4 linked regions of the Drosophila melanogaster genome follow. The protein of the gene in region 4 purifies or fractionates together with the protein of the main gene of each other region. This does not show direct contact. Each region holds a gene or a part of one and is shown on either strand. Other genes may lie near its edges.

Region 1 (6,307 bases), on a different chromosome or scaffold from region 4:
GCTCCGTTTCGCTTACCTTTGGATTGTTGGCCACGATGGGTGGCGGATGGGAGCCATCGCCGGAGTCCGGGCTCAGCTCGACGGCCTTGCTAGCAAGCAACTTGTTGCGCCAGACCTGCTTCATCTCCTGCAGCACCTGTTCGTCGACGCCCTCGTCCAGGAACGCGTCCCGCACATTTGTGATGACGTCCTCGATCACGGCATGGTACACCTTCAGCTGCGGGCGAGAGGGGATGCGGTTAATTGTGTATAATTAAATTTGAAATGCACGACAAATCTGGGCTTGTGTTGACTTAAACACTCATTATATTATCGCGGCTCAACTTCACGCTATTAGGGCCTAAACAGTTGGGGGTAAAACAATAGGGATTGCGCAAAAAATCCACGAAGCAAGTAAAGGGCAAGACGCTATAGAAGTTGAAAATGTGGCGCACAGTATGTGGTGAGCCTTTTTGAGCTCCCATTAAAATTCAGACGCAGCTGTAATGTGAATATGCAAAACGCAAATAAAGTATGTAAATTATTTGTTTGCGAAGAATGTCGCAGTGCACATATGTACATAGATACCATGCATATGCTGGTATATATATATATGTACATTGTACATATATATACACCGGTATGCCAGTTGCTTGTTTTATTAATAGTTTGTTTTGCGTTATCAGCGGACGATAAGGAAGGAGGCCCCGACTTGTAGATAATAGCACAAGCTACGCAGCGTGTATTACTGCTAAATATAACCCCCCATGGGAGTTTGAAGTACTACGCGGAAAAGCCGAAAATCGGAAAATCCAGAGGGCAAGAAACATACAAAACTGCAAGGCAACGAACGCACTAACACAGCGACATCCAGACAGACACGCACTCGCATGCACACACATCCACACCCGAGAGGTTTGCAGTTTTGGTATCTCGGATTTCAGCAGTTGTAACTATCGTTTTGTAGTAACTACCATGACCACTGGGAAAGCTTTCACTTTCCCGCGTGGGCGGCGGAAGGAGGTGAAGCTGGAGGAAATGGAGAAACTCCTTGGTAGGATGCCTTCCATATGTCGAATGCAATGGAGCCACCGCCGCTGACACAATTACCGGATCTCGGGGATCCAGCCGCACACTCACCACCGATGTCTGGCATAGCGCCATTTGGACCTTTTTCTCCGCCAGCTTGAGGCTTTTCCGTTCGCTGGTGGGGCTAATTGACGTATTTGCTGAATTATAAATGGGCGAAGCGAAGAATTAGCGATAGCGATGCGTTCGTGACGGTGTCAGCAGTGTGGCCACCTGCGGGGCACTTGAAAACGACGCATGTCCGCCAAACTGCAAGGCTCATTTGGTCATACACTAATTGCCTTTGGTATTTTTTAAGATATTTTAGTATACAAAATACTGTGCAAATTACATAAAATATGTGGAGGTTATTTAAAATCTATTTAATATTTTCATACAGCAAATACCTTTTTAATAATTACTCTGCTTTCTTTTTACTTCTGAATTTTAAACAGTGGCTCCTAAGCATCTACCACTTTTTCGAGTGTATTATTTGCTAGACATTGGCAGCGTTGCCAGACTGCTTCGCTCTGTTAAGCTGCTTTATCACTTGTTGCGCCGCTGTTAACAAGTCATCCACAGGTTTTCATCGAATCGCGTTGGGAATTTACCCAAAAGCGATTTTCGTTTCGCTGCAACAGGTTACCAGCGCCGCCAACCCCTCATCCAACGGGCACTCTTGCATCCGGAGCCGCATGAATCAGTCGCAACCGGTTGAACCGCCCGCCCATAAGTGAAAGATGAGTGGCGTCCAGACCGCCGAAGCCGAGGCGCAGGCCCAAAACCAAGCGAATGGCAACAGGACCAGGTCGCGTTCCCACTTGGACAACACAATGGCCATCCGACTGCTGCCGTTGCCCGTGCGAGCCCAGCTATGTGCCCACTTGGATGCCCTAGACGTATGGCAACAGCTGGCCACGGCCGTAAAACTCTATCCCGACCAGGTGGAGCAGATAAGCAGCCAGAAGCAGCGTGGCCGCTCAGCCTCCAATGAGTTCCTCAACATTTGGGGCGGTCAGTACAATCACACGGTGCAAACATTGTTTGCTTTGTTCAAAAAGTGAGTCAGTTTGAGATAATAACCGCCGAGATCCCAGAAATGACTCCTCTTACTTTAGATTGAAGCTTCATAACGCCATGCGTCTGATCAAAGATTACGTTAGCGAGGATCTGCACAAGTACATACCGAGGAGCGTGCCCACCATCAGCGAGCTGCGCGCTGCTCCCGATTCCAGTGCCAAAGTAAACAACGGCCCGCCGTTTCCCTCCTCCTCGGGCGTCAGCAACTCAAACAACAATCGCACCAGCACAACGGCAACGGAGGAGATACCCAGCCTGGAGTCCCTGGGCAATATACACATTAGCACCGTACAGCGGGCAGCCGAATCCTTGCTGGAGATCGATTATGCGGAGCTAGAAAACGCCACGGACGGCTGGAGTCCGGATAATCGACTGGGACAGGGCGGATTCGGAGACGTGTACCGCGGCAAATGGAAGCAACTGGACGTGGCCATCAAGGTGATGAACTACCGCAGTCCCAACATCGACCAGAAAATGGTGGAGCTGCAGCAGAGCTACAACGAACTCAAGTATTTAAACAGCATCCGGCACGACAATATCCTGGCCCTCTACGGATACAGCATCAAAGGTGGTAAGCCGTGCCTCGTCTACCAGCTGATGAAGGGCGGCTCCCTGGAGGCTCGTTTACGAGCGCATAAGGCACAAAACCCACTACCAGCACTCACCTGGCAGCAGCGGTTTAGCATCAGCCTCGGCACGGCTAGGTGGGATTTATCGTTTCTTTAGTGCTATCAATCTTCTTTAACTTTTCATTTCGTTTCCAAAAGAGGCATCTACTTTCTGCACACGGCGCGAGGCACACCGCTGATTCATGGAGATATTAAGCCGGCCAACATCCTGCTGGACCAATGTCTGCAGCCAAAAATCGGAGACTTCGGTCTGGTGCGCGAGGGTCCCAAGTCCTTGGACGCTGTGGTGGAAGTGAATAAAGTTTTCGGCACTAAGATCTACCTGCCACCGGAGTTCCGCAACTTCAGACAACTCAGCACGGGCGTGGACGTCTACAGCTTCGGCATTGTGCTGTTGGAGGTGTTCACGGGTCGTCAGGTGACGGATCGCGTGCCGGAAAACGAGACGAAGAAGAATTTGCTGGACTACGTTAAGCAGCAGTGGCGGCAAAACCGGATGGAGCTGCTAGAGAAGCACTTAGCAGCACCGATGGGCAAGGAGCTGGACATGTGCATGTGCGCCATCGAGGCGGGCTTGCACTGTACTGCCCTGGATCCGCAGGATCGCCCATCCATGAACGCGGTGCTCAAGCGTTTCGAACCGTTTGTTACCGACTAGATGGGCCTTATTATGTTACCATTTTATTGACGAACTTGAAAAGCTCGAAGGACCATTTGTAAACCATTTCCACATTTTGTGATCAATCGCAATATATATTTTTAACTTTAACATTCCAACGAAAATTTCCCTAAAGACTTATTGTTATGCTTAAATTGTAAATGCTTACCCTATTGTTTATTAAATATTTTTGTACACTTAGTTGTTAGTGGTATGTTTGATGTTCGGAGAAACTAAATTTATGATATGCCCCAAATCGATGATTTAAAACTCAAACGACTCAAGCGACGTGGCCAGTGGAGCTACGTTTTGATTTTAGCGTCATTTCGGTTATAATTATTTTCATTTTCACAACACAATCATCGCAAAATAATATTGTTTTTATTCGTGACGCAGAATTCCGGCTCTAACCATTGACACGAATCAATTTTATAGATATAGCTTTTAGCACGTGAAAAATTTTCAATTTTTAATCAAGGACGACCAGCGGACGAGACAATGAATTTAAAAAATTCCAAGTTTTTCAAGAGGATTCAGGAGCTGCGCCACTTCTCCAAGGAGAAAATACGGAAGGATCGCGAAAAGAGGACCCACGTTGTTCGCGCCCTGGACATGGCTCTTAATGAGCAGCCGTGCTTGGACCGGGAATGGTTCAGTCCGGAGCAATCACCGCCACTGCAGCCCATGTCCCCACGCCGCCGGATGAAGAAGACCCGGTGCCTCAAGAGGAGGACAGCCGCCGACAAGCAAGTGGATGATAACTCCCCATATTACGGACCATCTTCTGGTGAAAACAGCCCAATGCCTGCTGAGGAAGCCAAGCTGCAGGGATTCATTCAACTGAACAACAAGACCTACCGAGTGGAATGCCCCACTCGGGTGCTCAATCCTCCCATGAACGTCGACGAGGAGCGGCCAGCCAGGTGATCTTCCTTAGCTTTGGATCCTTATTGGATAACGCATCTAACATAATCCCCCAGCGAAACCAAGAGTACCATCTGCGTGTCCAACTCGCGCTACGCCATGATTGGGAAGATCTCCAAGACGCTGGGCTACAAGTTGGTTAAGGAGTCCAAGATGTGGAACATCCTCTGGTCGGATTCGTTTCCCGGCGTAGAGCTGTTCAAGAACATGAAGCGCTTCCAGCAGATCAATCACTTTCCGGGCATGATCGAGATCTGTCGCAAGGATCTGCTCTCGCGGAATCTAAATCGAATGCTAAAGATCTTTCCACAGGACTACAAGATCTTTCCCAAGACCTGGATGCTGCCGGCGGAGTAAGTAAACCCCAGCCTCACACTGAAAGTGCTAATCATTGATACCAACGATTTCAGCTATGGAGATGCCATGAACTACGCGCTCAACCACAAACGCACGTTCATCCTGAAACCGGATTCTGGTGCCCAGGGTCGTGGCATCTGGCTGACAAACGACCTGAAGACCATAGGTCCACATGAGCGCCTCATCTGCCAGACGTACATACACAGGGTAATGTATCCGCTGTTCATCCGGAATCCCATACGCTGGCTAACCATCGCATCCACTTTTCCAGCCCCTGCTCATCGATGGGTACAAGTTCGATCTGCGTGTGTACACCTTGATTACCTCCGTGGATCCCCTGCGCATCTTCGTGTACAACGAGGGATTGGCCAGATTTGCTACGAACAAGTACGTGGAGCCCACGCCCGGAAACGCCAACGATCTGTACATGCACCTGACCAACTACTCGGTGAACAAGCGGAACTCGCACTACGAACTCTGCGACAACGATGACTGCGGCAGTAAGAGGAAGCTGAGCGCAATCAACAACTGGATGCGGCGACACAACTACGATGTGGAGGAGTTCTGGAGCAATGTGGACGACGTGATCATCAAGACGGTGCTGAGTGCGTGGCCAGTGTTGAAGCACAACTACCATGCCTGCTTTCCGGGTCACGACAAGATCCAGGCCTGTTTCGAGATCCTCGGCTTCGACATCCTGGTGGACTGGAAGCTAAAGCCGTACATCCTCGAGGTGAACCACTCGCCCAGCTTCCATACCAACGAGCAGGTGGACAGGGAGGTAAAGCGGCCGCTGATCCGGGACACCTTGAACTTGGTCAGCACGGTGCTGGCGGACAAGAGGCAGATTCTCAAGGAGGATCGCAAGCGGGTCAAGCAGCGGCTGCTCAAGATCAGGGGAGACCCGTAAGTGTCTCATCATCATGTCAGCATCATCATCATTGGTAACCCACATATATATTTCCAGACCCGTACAACGTCCGCGTCTTGGTGGCGGCACCTCCAAGCCCAAAATCGATGCCCAGAAGGGCAGTCCGGATGCCCAACCCGTTGATGTTGAACCCGAAGCTGAGGACCATGGTCCACTGGCCCAGCAAATCGCCTGGGAGGAGAGTCATTTGGGCAATTTCAGGAAGATAATGCCGCCACCAGACTTGAGCAAGCTGGACTACTACACTCGCTTCTATGCCCAGTCGCACCAGGTGTCCATCTTTGCGGAGACGGCGGCCAGTAAAAAGCGAGAGGATCTCGCGCGCAAGATGCGCATCCAGCTCGAGGAGAAGAAGGCCAAGCAGCAGCAGATGCTGAACGGGAAGGCCAAGCGGGATGCTAGGAAACGACACACCGTATTGCTGCCGCGGGCTGTGCGCGAGAAGAACCGTATTAACTTCTTCCGGCTGAGGGAGAACTGGTCGCCGGGCTTCATATCGGACGCGGAGGAGCGACTGCGCCACACCTGGCTGCACATGCGGGCGGAGGCGATACGAACGCTCAAGATCACCGAGAATGTAAGTCGGTTCACTTCCAAAAAAAAAGATACATTTATATTTAAAGGAGATATTCGTCCACAGATCTACAGCAATCTCTACGAAACTGGACTCCTGACCAACAC
Region 2 (6,907 bases), on a different chromosome or scaffold from region 4:
GAGGAAAAGCCAAAGTCAACGTCAAAGTTGAACGTGTCAGATACAATTCCATTGCTGGAGCTGAAACTGTTGTTTCTGCCGGGTTATGTCTTTGCGTTTTACTATTTCGGCTTTTGGGCCAAAGAAGAAGCTGCCAGCTGTTAATTGGAATTCGGACTGCCCTTGTTTTGGGTGCCGCTGTCATTCCCGCTTACGATGAAATTTATACAATCTTTCTATTTGGCAGCGCTCAGATCGGGCAGCTCGGGAAACAGAAAGATAAATATACAAAATTAACACGTACTCAGGTGAAAATGAGCAGGTAGTTACCCATGCGATAGCAAGTGTGTGTTCTTGTGTATGAAAGGACGTCTCACACACACACACACACACACAAGACCACCACTCGTTGAGCAAATAACCCCAATAAATAAGCCAAGTTAGACCGATTCGAGGGGCAAGAGGAGGGGGAGCCGAGTTCCAAGCCAAGATGTTCATGAAAAAAGTTAATTAAGGTGTTTGCCCCGCAACAACAACAAGGCCGGGCATTATATGCTAGATATTTATCTCCCGGCTGGGGAAAATGGATCTGGTTGCATGCCGCAGAGTGTTTGCTTTTGAAATGTTTGTCATTATCGTCGTTAACTTTTTGATGAGTCGAACGTGTGTGATAAAAGTGTCACACGGATTGAAAAGAGCGACGAGCGAAAGGAAAAGAAAAACTAATAACGCAGACGGGCCAGAATGAGTTTGTACGTGTGTGTGAAGAGATATATATATGGATGTTGGGGTATATGTATATAGAATGTATCTTTCGGATACCAATTGCCATTAGTTTATTGAGAATCCGAAATTTATGGCTCTGCGTGTCGTGGCCAACCACGCACAAATGGTCACAAATCTGGACCTGAAACACATGTGGGCCTGCCTTTGGTTCCTCCAGCATCTGTGGCACGTACAAATTTCATTTGTTGCACTATTTATGTGCTTCTCCACTGATGAAAATGAAATCAAATTAAATTTTCGGCACAATTCAAAGTGAAATTTTGCAGCTAACATAAAACAAGGCAAATGAGGAATAAATCTCCCGATGTGTGTCCTGTGCGCTGGGTTTTCCCATGTGGGTACATTGAATGGGAAATTACTGGAATTTCCTTTCGGTCAGAATTACATGCGCATATTTCGGTAATATCTTTGAAATTTACAGTAAATCCTAGGTATTTGAAATGAAAAACACGGGCAGTGTGGCAAATGTGTATATTAATGCATCTTTGCGGGGAGAAGTAGCCATTATGTTGCCTATTAAGCTTATCCAGATTTGCGTTGCTTTGTTTGATTTGACGTAAAGTTATTTGCTTGGAAAGAAAACATCTTAAATCCTTGAAAATTGTGGTGTAAGCCTAGTAGTAAACATTAAAATTGTTGTTGTAATATTTCAACAAATTTATTTAAATTTCAAAGACTTTAGATAATTACCAATTGGGAAATGGAATCAACACAAGATTGCTATGAAAATTGTACATGAATTCAAAGATTATTCATAAGCATGTCCTAATTTTCCATACGCCGTGCATAATTACAGAAAACACAGTTGCAGAGGGATACGATTTCCATTTGCATTTCCCATTCCCCGTCCCTGTCGCACTTCACACGCTGCTCCCCCGGGAGCTATGTCCCATCCTTGTTCCGCATTAGCAGAACGCACTTCCACTTCATTTGAGTCGCAAGCGGCAGAGCGAGAGGGTAGATGTTGTGGAAGTGTGGTTTTAATTGGCACACAACAACAACAGCAAGCAGTCTGCTACGTGCTGGCAATTACATTTTACATTTTACTCAGAGAGAGAGACTAATCAACTAATAAATCCATAATCACTGTTATTACGTATGCTGCCTGAGATGCTTAGACTTTGAAGTTAACCGGTTAAACTTGGCTAACAAGAACTGAGAACTACTGGCCAACAACAACTGCCGGCTTTTCCCCCAAAAATGAAAACAAAACAGTAGAAGGCTCTCTTGCTCTACCACTTTCTCTTATACTCTTATACGAAGTACCTGTATTTCAACTGTTTTCCTCTCTCGCATGACTTTTATCGCATGCGATTTGTTTATAGTGCAACGACCACAGACACGAAGATAATTCGTGTGTCTCTCTCTTTTTCTCCCACGCATCTGTACCTTCGAACGGTATTTGTGGGGTAGAAGAAATTGCTCGACTTATTATATCGTTTGCCACTCAGAAGTTAGGGAAAGAATTTTATTTTTTATAAAAATCCTAGTCAACTAACATAAATCAACTGAAAGCTCGATTCCTCATATTATCACATTGTGTTATTGCTACAAGAACTGTTGTTCTAAAAATTCTTATCAGTACGTCAAAAATATAAAAAAATTTCGAGACTAGCATTTTTATCCAACTCATATTTATTTATAATAAGCTGATTATATATAAAACCCAAACAGCTTTATAGAAATAACTTCACACGTTATTTAAGGTTAAAAAAGTAGCAAGATAGGATGTTATTAAAAGTAGAATATAAAAAATATAATAATAATTTAAAATGTCTTAACAAACTGGAGCTTAAGGAACCAAAAGCAAACAAAATGATATAAAACATATAAAGACTGTGACAAAATTATTAAAATTTAAAATAAAATATATTAATAGGCTGATTACAAATTTAAGTAAATAATGTTTTCTATATTGAGCAAAGGGTATCTTGCCGCCGACTCAGCCACTCTCTCGTCTTTCCCTCCACACTAAGCGCACTACCAGCTCTTCATCTCTCAGTTCTTCTTTCTTTTCGAGTCGAGTTCAGTTTGTTCCGAATCGCCGACGTGAACGCACGCTTGTCGCGCTTGTAGCAGTTGGATTTTTGATTTTCCCAGCCAGAGTCCCGCGTTCGTGTGTTGTGGGCCGCTTTTGTTTGTCTCGTTTTGTGGCCAGCGATTTGGCAACCGAATAAGCCAAGTTAAGAGCAACGCTACGCAGCACAAAATCCATAAAAACAAGAAACACAAGGCGCAATTAAATGCAAATGTGTGAAAGTGTAGCAAGCATTTAACCAAAAATAAAATCGCAAAAAATCGCGGCTTCAAAGTGCGAACAAGCGCGAACAGAGAAGCTAAACAACAGTGCCAGTGCGTGTTTGTTCGTGGCAGCTTAAGAAAAGCCAAATAAATATTAATATTTGCACAAGAGATCGCAGCGGAGTAGCTAACCTCACATTTAATAAAACACGTATTAAAACGGTAAGTATTTACGTCTCCTTGTTCAGTTATTACACTTTGAACCGTGCCATCTCGCTCTGTCTCGTTATCTCCCATTCGATTTTGCTTTGTGCTAAGCTTCGCTTGGCTCGCGCTAAGCTCAGCTATCTCTGTCCCACTCTCTGATCAGTCCAATTCGCCTATAATTGCACAGAAAAAAATTTACCAAATTGATGGCTCATCGGGCAATTGGTTGACATTTTGTTCCAGTTTTGATCACAGTCAGATAAAATCAATTTAAAGTACATAAAATGAGCTGTAAAATATTTGTAAACATCTTTAAATTGATCTATTAATACTACTACTACTACTACTACTACTACTAGTACTCTGCGTAAAACCGTATTTTTTCCTGTGCAAATTGGCGATGAATAACAGTTTCAGCAGTTGTAACCGTTGCACAATTTTCCCCAGTGCTTGTGTGTGTCACACTCTTGTTGTCCACAATTTCCGTGGTTTTTCTCGGCACTTTCCAGGGAAATGTGCAAAATGCTGCAGTGCAGCAGCAAGTGCTCTTCGGCCTTGGGGTGTGCTTTGCGTTTTGGCCAACCCATGAACGAAACAAAAAAGAAAACAAAGCCACACGCATTTGGCCCAAAGCTCACGAGCCAGCATATTAACACTTTGAATTTTTGGCCAAAAACCAGTTTGGAATCGAAAAAACAAACAGACACAACAAAAGTTTATTTACTACCAAAGAGAGCTTCGTTCAACAGGTTTTCATTGCGGGGACTTTTATTCGTATTGAAGGTGGAAATACCTGGGTAATGCAGGTTTCAAAAGTACTTCTAACAAACCAGAAAATGCCCACTTGTGCTTTAAAAGCTAATAAGTTGCTGATTAGAAACAGCAAAACAAAATAAGAGAAGAAGGAAGGGACAAGAATCTTCTCGCTTGTACCAATTATGGTAAAAATCGTATGACCTTATGATAAACTTAGACTTTTGTTTTTAATTCATTTCGATTCTTCTTGGGTTTTCCAACACCATAAATCTCTTCTTAGTTGATAGCCCTTGACCACTAGCTACATTTATATGAAAAATTCGGAAAACCCCAAGATTCAACCCCAAAAGTTCAACGATTATCGCTCAGAAGCAGCAGGTCTTGAATTCAAGAACAATGCTGTTTTAACAATAATTATACAATATATATAAATTTTGATTGTATTTTTTTCCGATAGTTAACATCCTGCCATTGAGCTTCTTTCGCCTGAGGGTTTTCCGAATAACTGTACTCTGGATTTAGGTTAAGATTTTTCTTCTTTGGCCCACATCAAAGGCAAAGAAGCTTTCAAAGCGGCTATAACAATGGCGGCAAACTGAAAAAAAAAAATGCTAGTCTTCGTCTGTGAAGGTAAAACTGCGGAAGTCATTTAACAGTCTACTTAACTTCTGCCAAAAAAAAAAGAAGTGAACGAAAAAAATGAAGTGGAAAACGGCAAACTGCAAACGTTCAAGATGCTCCGCTTGGGTCTTTCGTCTTGGCCACGTTAGAAAGTAGCTGTAATTGTGGCTCCGTTATTGTTATGGCCAAACCGCCACTAGTCCAACTGCAGGCGGTAAAAGTTGCCCAAAATGAATTGTCATACAAACACGTTTGTTATAAATATTTCTGCACAATGAGAGACTCATTTAAGATTCATTGTACTCGCTTTTTTAGTTGTTAGCTTTATTTTTCCCCCTCTCATTATTGAGGGCGTTTGTCCACTCGGTTGATAAGCGAAAAGGCAGAAAAACAATATTCAAAGCTGACTCCGCTTTGGTTTTTACATCTGCCAAGTGTTTTTTAGCTTTCTGCTATTTCACTCTTAGTTATTGGCGACTTGTGTTGATAATTAGCACGTCGGCTTTCAGCGTTTCTATGACTTGTGGTCCGCTCAGCGTGATGAGTCAGCCTCCTAAGCTGAAAAGAGCGTTACGATCGAACCACCATATGTCTTACTCTCCCGATCTCAGATCAGCGGGCGGTTTAACCCAAAGTCAAACCAGATCCGTGACGTAAATGGGAGACAAATACACGCAAAAAAAAAACAAGACTGAAGATCTGAAGATTGTATCTATAAGATCTGTTATTAAAGTGATATGTAATTACATACTACATTCTTATATGATGACTATAATGACTAATATAAACACGTTTTAATATAGTACAAGTTTATATTATATAGCGTAATATCATACTTACCGTATTGTTATCACCTGTTTTTTTTTAACAACTCATTTCTTTTCGTGTGATTTCAACGTGTGAGGTTTTTTACTCTCCAATCAGATTGAACTGAGATAGAACTGCCTGACCAGTCACAGGGCTTATTGCCTTGCATTCAATTAATTAATTTCAATTTTATTGCTTCAGCTGACCATAAAATCGTGAAGGGAGGAATAACCATAAGTTCCCCACTGCGACATTCTCTCGGTGGAGGGAAATGAAGTCGTTGCACTTGCTTTCACCCTAATGCCTTCATCAGCTGCACAAACGAAAAATCTCATTAATTTTCCACTTTCTGTCTATCTTTGGGTTATCTCTCCATTGTTTGTCCCCGTCCCAGTTCCCTTTATGTTCTTACTATTTTTTTTTTTTTTTGGCCCTACCTGCGTGCAGGAGTTTTCCCTCATGAAGTTTTCGGTCGCGACATGTTTTCTGATCCGTGTCCTGTGCTCTGGTCTAGTTCATTAGATGGACTTGGCTAATCGATTTCCATAATCAAACAGATGGCGCCAGAATATGAGAACGAGAATGAGACATAGCAAATGAAGCCGAGTAAATGTTGATATAATAAACCCCGTGTGGCAGGGCCAATTAGGCCTTACTCCTCACCTGTGACACAGCCACATATTTTCTCATTTGAATAAAGAAACACGACCACAGCAGGGGAAACATTAGACGCGCCTAAACGTAGAAATTAGCGGCCACAGAAAACGGGAGGGAAAAATTCCAAAAAAATAAACATACCGAAAAAGAGAAATTTAATTAAAGCCGCATAGAAAAAAATGCATAAATTTAGTCACCCAAAACACCCACCCACCTGGCATGTAATATTTGTAACCTCATTGCGGCGGCAGGGGAAAGGCGGTGTAATTTTCACGGTCCCCGATCTGCAGCTTTTCACCAACTTGGCGGGTCAGTCCGGCATAATGATTAGGGTCAGTGTGGGGTGGAAAGTCGGGAAAACTCCTGCCACCCAGCTGGAAAAGGAAAAGCAACAGCAGCGGCATAAGCATCAGCATCAGCAGCAGGTTGCCAACAATTTCTGCTTATAATTTTCCGTTTTTCATCCTCCTTTTCTTTTTGGCCCGCTTTGTTCTGGTCGAGATAAAAGCATTTGTCATTAGCATAAAATGTTCTGGCTCAGGTTTTGATCTGGAGTTTGGCCCGAAAAAAATTAAAAATGCTACGAATATTTGAACTTCATTAGTGGGCCAGCGAGCCCAAATGGGCACTTGGCTATAATTAAAATTTAAGCTAATTTTAATGCTCAGAAAAGCGGGGAAAGGCAAGCCGAACAACAGTAAGTCAGCAACAATTTGGGCCAGATATTATAAAATACCTCAAATGGTGAATGTCCAACGCTTGATTTAGCTTTAAGAATGGAACACGAACCCAAAGTGAAAGATAATGGATTGGGAAAATGGAAAAACCTACGCTTTTCCTTTGATGGGCATTC
Region 3 (9,272 bases), on a different chromosome or scaffold from region 4:
TGCCGGTGCCTAAACGCTCGCTTTATTAGAGGAGCATCACAATAAACCAGATCTCTTCGATTGCGGTGGCTGCTGCACTGGGAGAATCATCTTCCCATATTATTTATTATTTCAAAGAACCGATCATGAAAAAGCACCCTTGATTATCATTGAAAGTTGTTAGGAAAGTTAGAAACTGCGTAAACCATTTGCATTTATGAGTTAAACTAATCCTTGAGGAAACGTTTCTCGCAGTGCATTCCTGCTTTTGTTGCTCTTTTGTGCCGCCGCTGTGGCTTTTGTTGCGTTTGGTGTCCAAGTTCAAATCGTGCAAAGGAAAGAAAGCAGCGGAAGACGCTGCACAGATCACGACCACGGGCAAACCGGCAGAACCGCTTTTTTCGTATTTTTTCTTTGCTAACTTTTTTTTTTGAGTTATACACTCATGTGCGCGGCATGGTATCGCTGGATTTTGTGGCCCGGACATTTGTTAGCTGTCAGGATATGCAAAAGTTGCGATGGTAATTGATTTTGTAGGCCAGCTCGCCTCGTTCGCGGCATATAAAGCGAATTAAGAAGTTTGAGATGGACAAGCGACCAGGATGGCACACATGTAATTGCAAACTGGGGGCCTAAGTACCCATAATTTCACAAACTGTCGCCCGAAGTCGTTACTTTTTTGTGGTCGCAGTGCTCTACCTGTTTGAATTTCTTTTCCGATGCGGGTACCGTTAGCTTGACCCGGTAAAGGTGACGTTTGGACAACGTTTGTTGTAAGCGAATTGGTGTTGGTGGATAATTTGAAGAAGCGGGGCTAGGACGGCATATATGCGCGCAGTTTTCGAAATCGGTCGGTTGGTTAATGTCAAGCACCGCACGCCCAGCGCATGCAAATGAGCGTCCGAAAAAGTTCTCGGCGGCGAATGAAGAAATTAACGAACGAAATCCGCACGCGGCCGCGCACCTTGCCAAAGTTGAAGTTGAACTGACTTCGACGACTTCGATTTGCCGCCACATTTCGGGCTCAGCTGTGCGCCAACGGTGCTGCCAACGCGGCTCGTTTCCGGACAGAAGCGAAGCTATCGTTATCGGGTTTAAAGCTTAACCGTTACTGCGATCAATGAAAATAACAATATATAAGCCATATTATATAACTTTATTGGTAAAAGTTACACGGAAATTTAGACATTTGTTGTTGTCCTCAGACTGATGCACCAACCTTATTTACCTCCTTGAATTCCTTTCTCTCCATAACAATGCGATATTAATAACTAGTCTAGAGTTTAAAGCTATAACACGACATTGTACTTGCTGATTTGATCGCTGATAAATGAGTGTTCCACGTTGGGGTTGTCTTTGAAAGTAGCCAATTTTCATTCTTCAATCCAAAATGCGCGAAATCCGAAGATTTCGGAAAATACCTGTAGTTTGAGGTCGATGTAAAAAAATGGGTCCAGATCAGATCGATCAGACCAGGCTGAAGCCCTGCGTCTGCTGGATGGCCTGTAGCAGCTTGTACTTGAGGCGCTCCTTGGTCTTGTAGCGCGGCAGATCCAGCAGATTGAAGCACGTGTGCGCCACGGGCAGGAATCGTTCGTCCGGGGTGGGTTGAATGGTGAGCTAAATCGGTACGGATACGGTAAAGGACACACTTTGCAATATAGGTATAATCTAAGAACTCACTTTAAGGGCTTTCATGCCCTGGATGGGAATGCGATCGCTGCCAGTTAAAAAGAGGAGAAAACTCTTCTTTTCCGCCTCGGACATGTCATGAATAACCTCCCAGAACCATTTGATCTGCGGCAGATACAAGGTTAATGTCTAGGAAGACCATCTTTAGTTTACAACTCACTGTATCATCGACCGAAGTGTAGCCCTCCCGGTACTCGCAGTTGTCTTGAAGCGCCTGCCAGTCGTAATCCTCATTTCCCACCACCACGGCCATCAGCTCCTCCGGCTGGAATATGTGAATCACGCGGCCAGAGCACACCTTCATAAAGCCCTTGTGAAACGCATTGTAGTGCAGCTCGACGGACTTGTTGAATACGAAGTCAACATAGAGATCCACAAACTCCTGCCTGAAGTTGGATAATAGTTAGCACAGGTGCCGCAACAGAAATGGTCACTACACTCACCTGTTTTCCAGTGTTACGGCTATCTCATTGCCGTTGGGCTTAAGGCACTTCGTCTCCGCCTCCCCGAATACATCCCGCGATATCTCAAAGGTCAGATCGAAGACTTCCTTAAAATCGTCGCCCTGGTAGTCGAGCAGCGATTGCATGGAGTTGGCCTCCGGAGGGGAAAGCTGACGGAGATCACTGAGATCCACTGGCTTGCCCAGCAGCTTTTTGAACAGAGCCAGTGGGAATGGCAAGTTGATGATGGTGAAGTTATAGATGGCCAGACCGCAGAGAACGCCAATTAGGAAGTACATGTTTTCCGTCTCGAAGGTGAGATCTGCAAACCAGAGCAGACGCGACTGCTCGTACTCCTTAAACATACCGTACTTGGGATCGAGCAGATCCTTGAGCAGCAACATGAAGAACTCCTTGCGCACGCCACCCGCGTCCTCCGCCTCCTCGCCATGGAACTTGATTTTCAGCGGCTTCTTAAGATCACTCTGCGAATAATGCTGCAACTCTCGAAGGGAATCCTGCACCAGATTCTCACGCGTCACGTTGAGCACAATGAACTGCGAGATGGGCATCCCGTAGTTGAAAAAGGAGAATGCCTGCTGGATAAAAAAGTAGTTATTAACTCATAAATCATTTCTGTTCGGCGTCATTAACCCACCATGGTAGCCGCATTGGCCATGGCGGAGTGCATCTGGAGCGCCTGATCCGCTTGGAGTAACGCTGTTTTAGCAGACTGGTCGAAAATGAATGAATAGTTGCAAATATTGAAATCTCTGGCAGTGTCGGCCATGATCCATTTAACGTACTCCTGCTGCACGTCTGCATAATCCGAAAGATCAGGCCAGTAAAAGATTTGATAGTTTAGGCGATCATGGCGCTCGTTGTTAATTTGGCAGAGCGTTTTCATCAGCTTTAGAATGATCTCGAGTTCAGTGTTATATGGCAGCAGCTAGATTATGAATAGAGAATTAATTGACACTGGTATGGCCCTATATTGAAATCTAAATACCTGTTGACGTCTTTCGGCGCTGGGACTAGCGGCAGCCAAGCCCATTTTGAAACTTATAATATGGATGACAACATGCAAGAAGTTCTGGACAAGATGCTCGAAGTATTCAGCCGGTGTTTGGGCCAACCACTTGTTCAGCACTTTCCGTGGGTTCTCTGCTAGCTTAAATATGGCATTGGCAAACGGAACCTGCAGTGACTTGTAGTGCTTGGAGTTGACGAACTCGTGGTAAAGTGGGAGCAGAAGATATAATCGCATGCTCTCCACATCTGCCGGTGAGCAAACCAGCGAACCAACTAGCTCCTTGGTTATATTGTCCCAGATCTGAAAACAATGAAATGATTAAAACAGATACCAATGATGCTTGTAATGGCGAAAACTTACCACCTGCCTAATGCTTTCATTTTCCACAGCGCGCAGATTGTCGAATGCTAGTTGGGCTGCTTTCAGATCCAGTCCATGGTTGCGAACCGAGCATCCAAAGTGTCGGTCGTGATCCAGCAGAAAGGAACCATTCCAACACGCCTGGCTTCTAAATATTAGTTCAATAGAGCTCAGTAGATCCATGTCGCTTTGAAGGCCCTGCTTGCATTGAGCACACTGCTTGGTGACTTCTGCTGTTAGGGTTAGGATCTGGGATTTGGGGCTGCAAAGTAGATATATGTTTATAGTTTTATATGTTTATACTAAAGTAACACGCTTCTATAGTTACTTGTAGTTTCTGAAATCCTCGGGCGGCACCTTGTCTACAAACAAAGTTGTGGTCACAATCGACTGATCGCCACCTGAGAAAATCTGTCGGATGACCAACGAGACCTGTGAATCATTGGATTGCAACAGGGCTGATCCGCTGGGCGACACCCAAGGACCGATGACCACCTGCGGCAGCATCAGGCTCTTGGTACTCCTCGTGCCCAGCTGCCCAGAGCTACCCAAGCCAAAGGCATAAACTCTGCCGCGCGATGGAACAAGCGCCAGAGTGTGCCGATTGCCACAGGCCACCTGAGTGATGGTGCTGCCCATTAGCTCCATTACCATTCGCGGTAGCATCTCATTCGAGCTAAAGCCATGACCCAACTGCCCATAGGCGCCAGCTCCACAGGTGAACACCCCTCCCTCGTTGGTCAGAAAAACGGAGAACTCATCGCCGCAGGCCACAAATCGCACGCCCAGGGTGCGCAGCGTTTTCAGCTGGGTGGGATACGAGCGGTTCGTTTCGTCATTCAGTCCCAGTTGCCCGCAGTTGTTTCTGCCCCATCCGAACACCGCACCGGACTTGGAGATGAGGAACGAGTGATTGCCTCCACAGGCAATTGCGGCCAGCGGAATTCCCAGCAGAGTGGTTAGTCGGAGGGGATAGTTGCAATGTGTCAAATCATTGGGGGAGTTCACGCCCAGCTGACCGTAGATGTTGGAACCCCATGAATACAGCTCGCCACCTAGAAACGTCAAGGATGATGTTAGTCGGAAGGTATCGTTGTTTAGCTTTAGATAAGAATTGTTTAGTAATGCCCTAAACTTGGGAAATACAATTATCTTATCTTGTTTCAAGTAGTTCTGATGTGTATCTGTGTATCTAGTGAATGGAATCCATTAAATTTCACTCCATACTTACAACTGGTCAGTGCCAAGCTGTGATTGTTGCCGCAGGCGATCTGCACCACCGTCTTTGTGACCAGTTGCCGCACAACCTTGGGCAGCTGCACGATCTCCTTATCGGTGGCATGGCCCAGCTGGCCGCAGTCGTTGTCGCCCCAGCTTAAGACCTGGCCCCAATCGGAGAGCGCCAATGAGTGGCGGCTGCCGCAGCAGATCTGGATGATCACGTAATCCTGCAGTTCGGGGATAAGCACTGCAAAAAGTCGGCCGGAAGATGATTGCGGGGTTTAGACTCGGTTCACAGCAGTGGCTCGCGTAGTTGGTGAGTATGGAGATGAGGTGGAGTTAGTGGAGAGTGGACAGACAAGACGATAAATGAAGATTACATACGAAATGGCGACATACGTGGCCTTTTGGTGGGCAGATCGTGGCCCAGCTGGGAGTAGTCGTTGCTCCCGCAAGCGTAGACTTTTCCAGTGGCGGTCAGAAAGAGAGTGTGTCGGTGTCCACAGGCGACCTGCTGTACAGCAGTGTCCGGTGTCCAGGGTATCTGACTAGGTGTGAGGATCTGTGAGGAAATCAATGGCATACAAAAGTAATATCAGTGGGCTTATATCCGAAAGTCATCTATCTACCTGCTCGTCCTCGATTCCGCCAAGTCCCAATTGACCATGTGACGTGCTTCCCCAGCAATAGAGCTCTTTGCCAGATGCCATTGCTCTGGATCCGCCCAATAGCTCCTTCGGTTGTTCTGGGTATAATAATTTACTTGTTGGTGCTACAAGAATTTTCGAGAATGTCCCCAATTGTTAGCTACATTCTTTTGTGTCCACTTGCTCCCGATTCCAATTGCTCGGTTCATGCCTCGTCAAGCTTTCGATGGGTGTGCCTTCAGAATCTAAGTCTAATCCTGAATCCTGTTACCTACAACGCTCTATAAATTTTAGGCCTTCTAGAAAAAAAATATAAAAACTCAAAAACCAGCAACAAAAAACCAATAAATAATGGTGGCGATGCCAACTGGTTGGGATAGGGCCACATTGCCCACGTTGGCAGCCCTGACAATGGGCTTAAGCTAGGGCTGCATCGCTTGCGGACTTTTAAGATCCGCTTTGAAAAACCTTAAGATCGGATAATTCTCTAGAACTTATGCTGAACACGAATATCAAAATGTTTTCTCAATTTTTTCCGAAAAAAGAAACAATTTGCGATTTTACATATAAGTTTTGGTTAATAAAAAATGTATACGTAGGTAACTAATGTTAGGGAGTACTTTCGAATATTTAATGATGATAGGTAAAAGTTAATATGAAATTTATAAAAGCTTCTAGTACTGTAAAGAGATATCAATAGGTTGACAAATAATAATTTACGCCATAGTATTTTTTTTAAAGTTAATGCATTTTGGTTTTTTTCTTTTTTAAACAAAATTATCTACACTTTTTCTCTGTCTGAGCAATCGTTATCATGGTAAGTATCCGCTAATATAGAACATCTGATTTTGGCATAGCTTGCCGCCCTGGTTTCTGTATCAGCCGTTTTTAAGCCGCTGAACTTGTGACCTTTGTCCATTCTTGCTGGAAACAATTGGCCGAAACACATAGCAGTGTTTATCAGAGCTATCAACCCTGGGGATAAACCGCGCCAATCCTCAAGATTTGAAACTCGTGAAAGGCTGCAGCCGAGGTGGTTGGACAAAGGAAAACCGGTTGCCACGGGGATTAGACAACTCATCGCGTGTGAAAAGAGTGGGATCAACACAGGTGCCGATTGATTTTCAGCGCAGTTTGCCACGCCAACAGCAGCGGAAAATATGCAGGAGGCCTACGTCAACATCAACTCCATTCCCACCCACATATTCACATGGGGCAGGTGGATTGAGGAGACCATAACCGAGAAGGAGATCGTCATCTGCATAACTGGCAATCCCGGTTTGCCAGGTTTCTACACAGAGTTCGCAGGCACTTTGCAAAAGGAGTTGGGCGATCTTCCAGTTTGGGTGATAGGTGAGTGTGCTGGCGTTTCCACATTGAGTCGGTAATAGCACACTTGATGTTCCCTCCAGGGCACGCTGGCCATGATGATCCGCCAGAGGCCAGTATTCGGGAGGTTCCTCAACTCAGCGGCAACGAGGAGCTCTTCAATTTGGACGGACAAATCCGGCATAAAATCGCCTTCATCGAGAAATACGTGCCAAGTGATGTCAAGATCCACTTGATTGGGCACTCCATCGGAGCGTGGATGATCCTGCAGCTGCTGGAAAACGAGCGGATACGGAGTCGCATCCAAAAGTGCTATATGCTGTTCCCCACCGTCGAGCGGATGATGGAGTCGCCCAATGGATGGGTGTTCACCAAGGTGGCCATGCCCCTGTACTCCGTGTTTGGCTACATTTTCTTCAGCTTCTTCAACTTTCTGCCCGTGTGGTTGCGCCTGATGCTGATACAGATCTACTTCTTGATTTTCTCCATTCCACGACAGTTTCTGGGCACCGCCCTAAAGTACTCCAAACCATCGGTAGCGGAGAAGGTGGTCTTCCTGGCCGACGATGAGATGGCCAGGGTTCGCGGGATTCAAAGGGAGATTGTAGAGCAGAACCTGGACCTCCTCAAGTTTTACTACGGCACTACCGACGGATGGGTACCAATCTCCTACTATGACCAGCTCAAAAAAGACTACCCCAAGGTGGACGCCCAGCTGGACACCAAGAAGATCGACCACGCTTTCGTCCTGCGCCACTCGCAGCCTATGGCTGTAATCGTAAGAGACATGATCCAGCAGCACAGACGTGTTTGAAGTCGATTGTTGACCTGGCCCAGACAATCAGCCCTGTCCATTACCTAATCCATCCATGCCAATAGACTTGGGAATCCGGATTACGGTTGAACAGCAAACCAATAGCAATTACTCCACTGCCTTTGTGTGGCAATTAGTTCGTTTTTATTAGTATCTTTTTGCAGCTCTCGAAGACAACTCTAAATATAGTCAAAAGTGATTTAACACGGTTGAGAGGTGCGTTATTTTTCCGGGGACCCTGATCTGCTACGGGATTCGGACTTGGATCGGCTGCCAGAGCGAGAGCGGGATCTTGAACCCGACGGCGAGCGGGATCTCGAGCGGGAACCGGACTTTGAGCGCGATCTCGAACGGGATCCCGACTTGGAGCGAGACCTCGATCGAGATCCGGACTTGGATCGAGATCTTGAACGGGAACTCGACTTGGAGCGAGCACGGGACCCAGATCTATCCGATTCCCCGCCAGATTCGATGCGATTCCTGGCGCGCTTCCGCTTAGTTGCTTCATCACTGTCACTCCCAGATCCAGATCCACTTCTGCTCCTGCTGCGCTTGCGGCTAGCCTCGCGATCACTGCCGCTTCTAGAGGCACTGCCACTTCGGCTACCACTGCGATTTCGACTCCTGCTTCTACTTCTGCTCTTGCTGCGCTTGCCGTCAGACTCGGATTCGCTGGTGGAGATCGTCTCCTTGGAAAGCACCTTGAGGCGCTGCTTGGCAGAAAGCTTCTCCTTGGACTCTTTAACCGGCTTCGGCTTCTTGCCCTTCTTCTTTCCCGACTTGCCACTGGCACCTGGCTCTTCCTCGCTGTCGCTCTCGTACTTCTCCGTTTTGCGCTTGCGACCGCCACCCTTTTTGCGTTCCCCCTTGCCCTTCTTCTTCGAGGGACGTTCTCCCTCACGACGAGCTCCATCGTTATCGCTTTCGGTACCGGAGATGTAGTCATCTTTACGACCTCGCCCACCACCCTTCTTGCGTTCCTTTTCAGGTGGAGCGTCCGCAATGATGAGCATGTTCTTGGTCTTCTCCACGTACTCCTGCCGCTTGGCTAACAACTGGTCCCTGGAGGTCTTTGCCTCCTCCTCGCGCCGCTTGCGCTGCTCCGCCACCTTAATTTTGAAGGCCTCGCGCTCCTCTTCCTGCTTCCGGCGCAACGAGCGCTCCTCCTCGTCAATGCGACGTGCACGGCCCACATGGTACTGGGCCTGAGAGAGAAGATCTTGGCAGGTGCTTGCCTCAATGCCAGCCACCTCAATGTTGAAGCGATTCTTATCCCCGTGCACGGACAGATATTGGAAGTATCTATAAGAGATTGGGGTGGGATATTGTGAGTGAGATTTTAAGCACGAAACAAAACATATTCATAGAAATAGTTATTGACCATGATCAAGGAAATCATCAGCTAATCTAATCCAATCTTCGGTTTAGCAGTTCATGATGATTGCTTTGCATTAATATCTAATCTGATCTGATAAGCTAAAATGCCATTAATGGTTACTCATTTCTGCTGTACTTCTAAATATAATCAAATTCACGTTATCACTTGGTTGGTACTCTAATAACCACTTGAAAATATTTGATAGGCGCAGTTTAAGAGAGCAAGGATACCACTTACTTTTGAGCCAGCTCCAGTTCATGGACAGCTTGCAGCACAATTTCCAGAGTAGATTTCTCATCCTTGAGTATGGCCATGGCCAAACGTGAGAGGACCACTGCTATGTTGAAGAGTAGAACTGTGTCCTGGGGAGCAACTC
Region 4 (10,105 bases):
ATATTAGATCGGCAACGTTCTGGTACTCAAATTCAAACAACCCAACAGATTTAAAATCAATTGCAAATGTGTCTATCAATAGGCAATAGTCGTTTTTATTCCAAGAACCCAATGTACAAAAGTAGCTTGTACTGCGTTTCACTGCCTAACCCAGGCACACTTGCAATTGGATTTAAACAAAAGAAGTATCGCATTATAATTTATAATTTAAATTTAATTACTCAGTTTAGAATTAATTTGGTGTAGCTTAATAAGTATGAATTCCCCTATTGAAATTGAAGTTGTTTACCAGAACCAGCCTGATTGTCCTGTAATTATTGCGTCAAGGATATGATCTACTTGGGGCTGCAGGACGACGCCAAACGGAAGGAGCAATTAAAAGGTTTCGATTGTTCAGTTGATTAGCGAAATGGTTTCAATTTTTCTTCAGCCAAGCTTTTCCTTTGGTTTTCCCACCCGACAAATACCCTCCTGAATGGCGTCGACAGGCAGCTGTCGAAGAAAAAGAGGAGAAAAGTTGGTCAATAGTTACGTCTGAAACTAAGTTGTTAACTGAAAAAGTACTCCTAAGTAAATGTTAATAGCAATAAACAACCGAAAGTTTTTGTATCTCTTAGACGTTGAAGATGTTGAAGCGGAGTTGGAAGAAAAGCGCAAGCATAAGTATCAAGTATTCCACGATAGATTTTGAGTAAAACTACAATTCATAGGTTAACAATAATTGTAAAGGAGCAAGGAAACATTCAATAGAATTACTCGAACTTCGAAGTCAACTTGTGCCAATGAAAAAAGCCTACAAAATCCTAATGAGAACCTGCAATAAATGTGGCGTAGCGTAACTTAATAAACAATTAAATAACAAATGCGCGGAGAAGTTAGATATTTAGCGGATCGATGTGAAACTGTTACTTAAGTGCAAAACGAGCTTGTTGTCGAATTAATTTTTAAACGGATTAAACTAAGTGAATCTAAGCTAAATGTTAAATGTTTTTTTAGGTGTTCAATGTTACAATTATTTGTGGTCGAGCATCCGACGAGGAAGAATTGATTGCCCAGCCTTCACCAAATGAATAAGTTTATAAACCTGTGCTAACTCAGTTGCAAGTCAAACGACAAATTTAGCTTGAAGCAAACTTCTATCGGTTTCAGCCAACAGAGCGTTGCAGGCTTGAAAGCAAAGTTGAGAACGAACTTCCCTGACCGCCCATCTTTTAGCCCAGTTACCAATTAGCCGGATATGTATTTATCAACCTAAATGTTTCCCAATACTCGCCAGCCCGATTGCACAAAGGTAATTTAATAGGTTTTTGGTCTCTGGCGTTAAATTAATGTGAGATTCAAAGATACTTTGTAGCCACAAAACAAATTTACATGCATAAACATCACATGAAAACAAAGAGAAAAATAACAAAGTGCATGATTTTAGGAAATATCTTAAAAACAAACAAATTTTTGTTTTTCCATTCAAAACTGATACGGTTAACTCTTAACTAAAAACTGGCTAAATTATTTGCAATAAATATCTGATTTAAGAGCACATGTTTCAGGTAAATTACGTGATTTTATAGTTGGACAGTTTCAGCTTTTCCTTACAATTAGTTTTCTCTGTATACGAATTTATTTGTTTTTAAGCCATTTGGCGAGCAGGGAAGCGGAATTTCAATGGCGGGCAGGGCGAAAACAAATGGAAAGCTTTAAATTAGCTCAATAAATTGTAAACTTAAACATTTAATCTACTTAGAGCGGGTCGTTGTTAAATGCAATGCAAGTACATCTGGGACAAAGAATCACACACCTCATTCAGATTTGTAAGATACGCATTTTGGCCCAGAAAGCCATTCGAATTTGACCACAAATACACACAGGCTAAAACAGAGGCTAAAATAATCAAATTTGTCGCCAGGCAGTCACAAAGGATATTTAGTATATACAATCAAACAACAATATACTTAGTAATTGCATTTAACACATGGGGCAGAGCATATCCACTAGGTTTGCAAAATTGATTTAACTGCATGCTTAAACTAACGAAAGTAAAAAGGAGATTAACTGAATGAAGGAGGTAGGGGAGACCTAATTAAAAGAACACAACTAATGTCTATATTTATGGCTAGCTAAGTGTAAAAATGTAAGCTGAATTATTATACAAACAACTACAATCGAAGCAAGTAAATTGATGTAATTGAAATACTCGAAACGTTCTAGGGCGAAATACCAATGAATATTGAATAATGACACAGGTTAAACACAAACACGCAGCAAGCATAAATTAATGAATAACGAAATTATTTCTCGAGAAAAAAATCAAACTTTTTAGCCTTTGAACGAGAGACTTTTGGTGCCCAATCCAGTTTGAGCAATTATTTACAAGTGAAAAATGAACGAAATACAAAGAAAGACACACAAACCACACCACACACAGGCAGATGTATTGTAAATAGAGCCACAAACAAACCAAATGAGTAAATACCAAGTAGGTACATTAATAACTAATGATGGGGCTTATCCGAGTAAATCAACATTAAATAAATTAACAACGGAATTCAAACAAAAGCAGGTAACTTCAACTTCAACTTGTGTGCAAGGCATCAACTTTTACTGTTAATTGTTGCTGGCAATGCAAAACGCAACGCCGACCGAAAAACGAAAACTACAAAAATAAACCATGAAAAAGCAAAACAAATATATTTAAAATACATTTGAACGCCTTCAGCGTTTTATTCATCAAGCAAAGCAAGAAATGTTGAATCGAAAGAAAAAGTCAAACAAAGCCATAAAAGCGATAAATCAATTTGTGTCACCTGTGTAGTAAGTATATCTCAGTATTTGTAACTGAAAATGAAAAGCGTTGAGGTGCAGGCATCAACCACACAAAGAACAAACAAAATCAAATGAAAATAAACTGAATTTACAAGTGCTCTCTGACTATTATTTACGAGAGTGTGGTCCTTGGTTGGCATGTTCATTTCCCCACATTATCGTCTCAAATCAGTTGATTTCGGGGAAGCAATATTTCTCGGTAAAATGAGTAAGTATGTCTTGGACAGGTCGAAATGTAAAATATTCCTTTTTGAGGCACCATTAAAGGTACCATTCTCTGCATAACTGAAAGGAGTTAGATTGCCTACATCAGCCGGTCGAATAGGAGAGTGCGTTTTTACTCACTTTACTACTCTTCTTGCTTTTGCACTAGCAAGAAATCATTATCAATTATGCTTATGAATAATTAGGAATCCTACGGCAAGAACCAACGTTCCTAAATTATATTTAACCAACCGGAAATTAAGTCAACCACTCTTAGAGCGCCATCTGGTGAATGCTTTTGGAACCTATTAAAGTGTGGCCCGCGCACCAAAAATACCGCAACCGATAACTGGCCCCGATAAAGTACCAAACCTCGCCGATGACTGGCCACCCGAAAAGCTGTGACTCGCCAAGCTTTTGCCCATCGATCGCCACGAGCTTATCGGAATCGCGATCTGATCTGAAAAGTGGGAACGCAGCGCAGATAAATTAATTAGCAATTAGCCAGTGCAAACAGAGTGTTGTCAGCCGACTAGAAAAAGCAGCTGAGCTGATAGTTCCGCCTGTGGCCCCCGCGCTTTCGCCCTGCATCGGAACGAAACCAAAATAAACAAGCGAGTGAAAGGCGGTGGAGAAAGAGCGCGGGAGAGTGAGCGCGAAGAGTAGTCCGTTGGGGAGGAGGCGGAGGAGGAGCGGACAACGAGGCAGAAACAAAAGCACAAACGGCGGACAGAACCAGTCGAAACAAAACAACAAACCGGAGCGGACGCACTCGAAAAAAGCGAAACGAATTTATTTCTGTGCTTAGGGCGACACTGTGTGCGTGCGCCACTGATTGTGAGTGTGTGTGTTGTGTATATTTAAACAATATTCAAAAAATCATACGCCAGACGAATAAAAAACGCGACGAAAACGAAGGCGAAGATCTCCATCTCCTCTCGCAGCGGAGCAGACAGATAAATAAAAACAGAATCCGAGACAGCAACAACAACGCGACTGTGACGCGGCAAGGTGCTGGAGGTCACTCGGTCCATTTCGCACCGCACTGAAGTATAGAAGTTTAGCAGTAAAGCACCACCCCCTTCTAACCAGTTTCAGCTTCATCCGCCCGCAAAAAACAAAAAAAAAACAAGCACGCGCGATCGGAAAACTCGAAAAAATCTACAGAGCAGCACAACTCACGCGCTTCATCGTTTTATTGCTCGCCGCCCTCTCGACTGATAAACGTCAGTTGATAAATATATATCGCATCACATCGCATCCACACTAAAACAAATACGCCAGCAAACAAACACCAATTATTCCAATAAAGCCAGCGCCAAGTGCGAATGCGCCCTCGATTTGTATGCCATCAGCAGCACTCGGTGGCCCATTCCCACTACCAGCCCCACTCCCACTTCCATCACCATACCCACCGCCATCCCAATCCGCCCCATCACCATCACATTTACGGCGCCACTGACGTCAGTTATCGGCGTTATCGCACCGCTGGCATGGTGGTGGCCGAGGGAGTTATGGACTCCGGGTCGGGATCGGGCACGGGAACGGGCTTGGGGCACTTCAACGAGACCCCATTATCCGCACTGGGCATCGAGACCCGCACCCAGCTGTCCCGCATGCTGAACCGCAAGAAGGTGCTGCGATCCGAGGAGGGCTACCAGCGGGACTGGCGCGGCATCTCGGAGCTGGCCAAGCAGAAGGGATTCGTCGACGAGAACGCCAACAATCCCATGGATCTGGTGCTGATCAGCTGGAGCCAGCGGAGTCCCCAGACCGCCAAGGTGGGCCATCTGGAACACTTCCTGGGCATTATCGATCGGTGGGACGTCTGCGACGATATCCAGGAGAATCTGGGTAGGCATTAACTATTTTTTACTTATGGTAGTCGCTATCTATCTATAACTAAACTATGTCACTTGAGTTTTGAGTATCATTTGTTTTAGATTAGCTTTTAAATGATGGTCTGACGATTCGACTTTTACTTCAAAATGCCATCGTGACAGTGAAAATTTAGTTAAACGTCTAGACTAACTATGTATGTTTGACTGTTCTCGAGTTTGCGAAGTTGAAGAGGAATTTTAAATAATGTACTTATCAAATGATATGTACACAAATGTTGGAAATCGGAAAATGAACCATTAAATTTTACTTTAATGGCGAGCCACACTTATCAATTATTTTTGGCTGATCCATTTTTGGTTTTATGACCGGAAAAGCCGTTTCGAGTTTATAAAAATGGACGTGGTAATCTATATAATATAGGGAGTATATGCAGAAAGCGTACATATTTAACTTATCTATCGCACATTTATCTAAGTCAAACAAAGCTTATCGTCGGATACATAAAACTATTGAGTTATGATGAGTAGATACGTAATGACAGAAATAAAAGTCACCCACTTTCCCATGATTAATTTGTGTTTATTTCTATTTATTGTCAAATAAAACGCTTCGACTTACAAGATTTTTATTACCACATCCCGACAAATTGAAAAACACACAGCCATAAAGAAAAAATTCAAAACAATAATTTCTAAAAGCCGCAAACAACAGAACTTAAACTATAGAAAATGCCAATCAGTTAAGAACGAAATTTTCTTATTTATTTGCACAATGGGGATTCACCCAGCAAAAACTGTTGTCATTAATAAAAAACCTCGAACAGTCAATTTTGTTTAGGAGCAGATGTTGTATAGATATATTCGTTGTGACCAAAATGGTTCGATTTAAAAACAAATGAACGCACTCGGAAGTTGAATGCTTAAGGTATAAAAAAGCACACATAATTAAAATCGTATTAGGAATTTTTCAAAGGAAATGTTTGAATTCCTTTTCTAATGATCTTTCATTGGGTGTTTTAGAAATATTCCAATAAAACTAAAAATAACTAAAAAAGTAAATTTTTTATAAATGTGTCGTTGATGATAACTGCTTGAATCTAGAATTCACTACCTCTTACTAGAATGATCTTTTCTGCTGACAATATATTTGGAATAAAAAGATGGGGAGACAATGGCAGACATCTGAATGGATATATGCATACACTTATCTATTCATACATAATATTGAGTTACAAATCATAAATACTACCAATTTGTTATGAAAGCTTCATATATTAGCGACTGTGTGCAGAAACTCAGATAAACTTCACTATGCCATTCCTTTAAGCTCATTATATATCAACAAAGGGTTATATTTATTATTTAATAAACATAATTTAAGTAATTTGATTTTGACATTAACATGTATAAATTGTGTTGTTTACTTTACGAATGATGTGTTAAGAAAACTTTTTGTGCGGCCTTGTAGTTTTTAGCAATCATAATCCCTTTAGTAAAACTGTTTTAATTTTGCTCTCCTCAAAAGCCAAGGACACCCAGCGCTTCATCATGAAACAGGAGCAGCGACAGACTGCTCTCGTGGAGGCGTGTCCGCCGCCCCCCAGCGACTGCTTCGAGACCAACAACAACTACAGCAGCAGCAACAACATCACAGTGGGCCAAAGTGTGCAGATCCTCAGCGACGAGGACCAGAGATGTGTACAGATGGGCCAACCGCTGCCCAGATACAACGCATGTGTTCTGTACGCGGAGGCAGACATCGATCATGCCACCGAGATCATGAATAATCTAGAGTCTGAGCGATACAATCTCAGGGTGAGTGGGATGCGCTCGGTTGCTGTGTGTTGTATTAAATAACCATGGGATCGTTCTATTGCAGCTATTCCTGCGCCACCGCGACATGCTAATGGGCGTTCCGTTCGAGCATGTCCAGCTATCCCATTTCATGGCCACCCGCTGCAATCACCTGATCGTCGTGCTCACAGAGGAGTTTCTTCGGAGTCCGGAGAACACGTACCTCGTGAACTTCACCCAAAAGATCCAGATTGGTGAGTAGCTGATACGCATTTGTATCGCAGAGCCAGAGTCGCATTACAAGTTCAACGATCTGACTTTCCCCAGAGAATCACACTCGCAAGATCATACCGATTCTGTACAAAACGGACATGCACATACCCCAGACCCTGGGCATTTACACGCACATCAAGTACGCCGGGGACTCCAAGTTGTTCAACTTCTGGGACAAGTTGGCTCGTTCCCTACACGATCTGGATGCCTTTTCGATCTACTCCACGCGCCAGGTGCAGACGTAAGTGTTGCTACTTCCTGCGATATATGTATATGTATGTGTTCCAAAAATACTTGATACATTTTTAGGGGTATAAAATCTCAAGATAATGTAGATTGCTAGCCAACAGATAAATGAGGTTTGCAAACTGAATACGAATACATGAAGTAGTCTAGTCATCCCAATTTAAGAAGCTGTTTTAGAATACATTTTATTAGCTTAAGTTTTTGATTTTACTGTTCAATTATTGCTACTGCTGGTTGTAGGGGCTGCGAAATCGTTTCACAACATTCACATAAAATGTGCAAATGTATACCAACTGCTTGTAAACAAAATATATAAGCAAATATCACATGGCGTACGAGCGATCAACCTTAGAACAGCCTAGCAGGTATTTTTATTTAGTTTTGCTAAATTCAAAGAAGATACGTTTGTTTCAGAAAGATGAACTCATACGACTTTTAAAGTGCCCAGGAAGTAATACACTGCATATGAGTAATCAAATTTGAAACAAATTTATAAACAGGAAATAAATGTATTATATATCTGGGCGTAAGATTATATTGAAGCGAAATTAGTTTTGCTGTTAATTGTAAAACATGTTGGAATTTTATCACTCATATCATAAATTTGGCATTCTCTAAAATTTCTTTATGCAGTCCCTCGCCGGTGGAGGAATCGGCTCCCCGGGTGACCACTCCCAGCATTCGGATTCAGATCAACGACAAGGATGTCACTGATATGCCAAACTACAACAGCTGCAAAGTGCCGGAGGCGGAGACCACAATCGTTTCGGTTTCCGGTGACACCGGCTCACCCCTGCCGGAGCACAAGCCGAAGAAAAAGGATCGCTTCCTGCGCAGAATCACGCACAGCTTTGGAAAGACGGCGCGGAGCGATGGGGCCAGCGGCAAGACTCTGCGTCATGCCCACTCCGTCAGCACCATAAATGTCACGGAACGCGAGAGGACACTCAGTGCCAGCAGCTCCAACATCTCCACCACGTCGGAGAGCAAGAAGAGCTTCATCAAGTGGCAGCCGAACATCCTGAAGAAGGCCCTATTCTCGCGATCCAGCAGCAAGCTGCAGACGCCGGGCTGAGATCATAGTGTTAGGATAGCCATTCATTCGATTTCTCGATTCTTTGATTCCTTGTCGTGTGCCCAGTCTAGTTGTGGCCGCCCAGTCACCAATGTCGTCACCCTCCATGCCTAGTGATAATCTTTAGCCTAATCCTTATCAAGTCAACTAACTTAATATACTTAGACGCACTTGTTAACTTATATAAGACAACAACGAATAAAGACAATACCACATATCCGCACAAATGTATCACAAAAGCACACAGACTACCAAATACGACACGATATTGCTATATGCTCTATGTATATGACTCTGGACTTGATAAACAGACAAATTGGCAATTGCGTTGAGTGAGGTTAAATACGCGACACTGCTAATCGAAGTGCTCAATTAACTGTTAGTCACGCGTTCGATAAGTGACTTACTTAATTTAATTATCTCGCGCGCCGTTCTCGCAACTCAGACCCCATCTGAGAATGAGTAATGAGCATATATAACGCATACGTACATATGGCTGCATTGTGCGAGCAGTGCTTTATCATTTTGTAAACTGCTCAAGCCGTTTTAGACGATTGCTAGCAATAAGTAAACTGTTTGTTCTCGGTACCGCCATCGGCTGGTTGCCTCATGTGATTAGCTCTAGCCTAGCTGTTACCGATTGTTACTGATTGCTGTGAATGCGTGCCCATATGCCTGATGTGCACCTAAGCACACTCACTTGTTATAAAGCAAAGACTATCAATACGTCATCCATCATCACATCGTCTCTTTCAATGTATCTAGAGTCTATATAGTATTATATGTATCTCCGGACAGTGCGTTTCAAAACCATATAGAGTCGATCGACAACCATATATTATGTCCAACTTTTGTCAAGCGACAACGAATGTGGATAAAACGCAATATACATATGTTCCTCAATGTCGGGCATCGAACGCTCGAACTTCGACCTTCGCGACACGTGGCACTTGGCGGTCATGGTTATGAAACGCACTGTATCCATATCGGAAATAAGCTAGCTCCAGTTGAGCGGCAATAAACTGTTCAATGTTTGGCTCAATAATTTATTGTTGAATGTAGACAACCTTTAGTTCGTTCATGTTTAATAAACATTGCAGTTGATGTGTGAATCCCCGTATATGTATTTACATACAGTTGTTCGCGTACATATTGAGTGGAAATGTTTATCGACCAGTTCCGGTTAATCTACAAGACAGTTCGAATCGGTTTAAATTTTTTGTATTTTTTTTGTTTTATTTATTTTCGTTTTTTTATTGTTTAAATCGTTTAATGTTTTAATAATAGCTCCTCGCTCACATTCCTCACTTTATCGCAACCTGCGTTAATTTCGCTCTCTGTGTGTTACAATTTACACTGTGAACAAATATGTTTTTTTTTTAGCCTTACTGCTCCTTGCGACTTGAGCTTGTTCTTTAAACTTTGTTTTTTTTTTTTTGTCTTGTTTTGTTTTGTTTCGTTTCGTTACTTTTAATTGAATTTATGTTTTTGGGTTTTGTTTGGTTGCTTCTCTGCTCAATGTGTTTTGGTTTTTATGTGAGTGTGTGTATTTATAAATCGATTTATATATGTTATTAATTTTATCTGTCGTTTGTTATCCGCTTAGCTTGGTTTTCCTTTGTTAGAGTTATTTTAATGATTTCATTATCGTTTAACAAAATTAATAAAAACAGTTTGTAATTTGTTTGTTCTTTGTTGTATGTATATGTTAATTGATCAATTTATCGTAATTCGCATATTAAAACAATGTAACGCATGATGTTGCATCTTCTGCCTCGACTCGCGCTCTATGAGTATTATTTGCAAATTGTTTCGTAGCTTAATTAATGCCTTCTGGGGATGTCTTACATTC

Evidence for each region.
Region 1: the proteins of Myd88 (region 4) and pll purify together in Drosophila melanogaster (affinity purification with western blotting; 4 studies listed by BioGRID). This does not show direct contact.
Region 2: the proteins of Myd88 (region 4) and Tl purify together in Drosophila melanogaster (affinity purification with western blotting; 3 studies listed by BioGRID). This does not show direct contact.
Region 3: the proteins of Myd88 (region 4) and Herc4 purify together in Drosophila melanogaster (affinity purification with western blotting; one study listed by BioGRID). This does not show direct contact.

Annotation. Positions count from the first base shown.
Region 1 is NT_033777.3:27,248,438-27,254,744, reverse strand, and holds pll (pelle), read left to right. Parts: upstream 1-1,562; 5' UTR 1,563-1,787; coding exon 1,788-2,107; intron 2,108-2,165; coding exon 2,166-2,831; intron 2,832-2,894; coding exon 2,895-3,414; 3' UTR 3,415-3,614; downstream 3,615-6,307. Other genes in the region: TfIIA-L (transcription factor IIA L), read right to left, coding at 17-217, 1,120-1,143; TTLL6B (tubulin tyrosine ligase-like 6B), read left to right, coding at 3,913-4,337, 4,395-4,691, 4,749-4,902, 4,967-5,601, 5,663-6,203, 6,267-6,307. UniProt on the Drosophila melanogaster protein: Plays an essential role in the Tl receptor signaling pathway that establishes embryonic dorsoventral polarity; the signal directs import of dl into ventral and ventrolateral nuclei, thereby establishing dorsoventral polarity.
Region 2 is NT_033777.3:26,796,253-26,803,159, forward strand, and holds the start of Tl (toll), read left to right. Parts: upstream 1-2,788; 5' UTR 2,789-3,228; intron 3,229-6,907. UniProt on the Drosophila melanogaster protein: Receptor for the cleaved activated form of spz, spaetzle C-106. Binding to spaetzle C-106 activates the Toll signaling pathway and induces expression of the antifungal peptide drosomycin.
Region 3 is NT_037436.4:1,310,176-1,319,447, reverse strand, and holds Herc4 (HECT and RLD domain containing E3 ubiquitin ligase 4), read right to left. Parts: upstream 5,753-9,272; 5' UTR 5,540-5,752; exon of another isoform or gene 5,474-5,539; 5' UTR 5,439-5,473; coding exon 5,358-5,438; intron 5,291-5,357; coding exon 5,113-5,290; intron 4,976-5,112; coding exon 4,739-4,975; intron 4,563-4,738; coding exon 3,836-4,562; intron 3,770-3,835; coding exon 3,508-3,769; intron 3,448-3,507; coding exon 3,124-3,447; intron 3,064-3,123; coding exon 2,773-3,063; intron 2,714-2,772; coding exon of another isoform or gene 2,711-2,713; coding exon 2,115-2,710; intron 2,058-2,114; coding exon 1,832-2,057; intron 1,777-1,831; coding exon 1,663-1,776; intron 1,600-1,662; coding exon 1,447-1,599; 3' UTR 1,118-1,446; downstream 1-1,117. Other genes in the region: sturkopf, read left to right, coding at 6,536-6,728, 6,788-7,518; Ctr9, read right to left, coding at 7,740-8,820, 9,134-9,272.
Region 4 is NT_033778.4:9,302,042-9,312,146, reverse strand, and holds Myd88 (Myd88), read left to right. Parts: upstream 1-3,424; 5' UTR 3,425-4,352; coding exon 4,353-4,878; intron 4,879-6,390; coding exon 6,391-6,680; intron 6,681-6,744; coding exon 6,745-6,913; intron 6,914-6,986; coding exon 6,987-7,173; intron 7,174-7,811; coding exon 7,812-8,253; 3' UTR 8,254-9,324; downstream 9,325-10,105.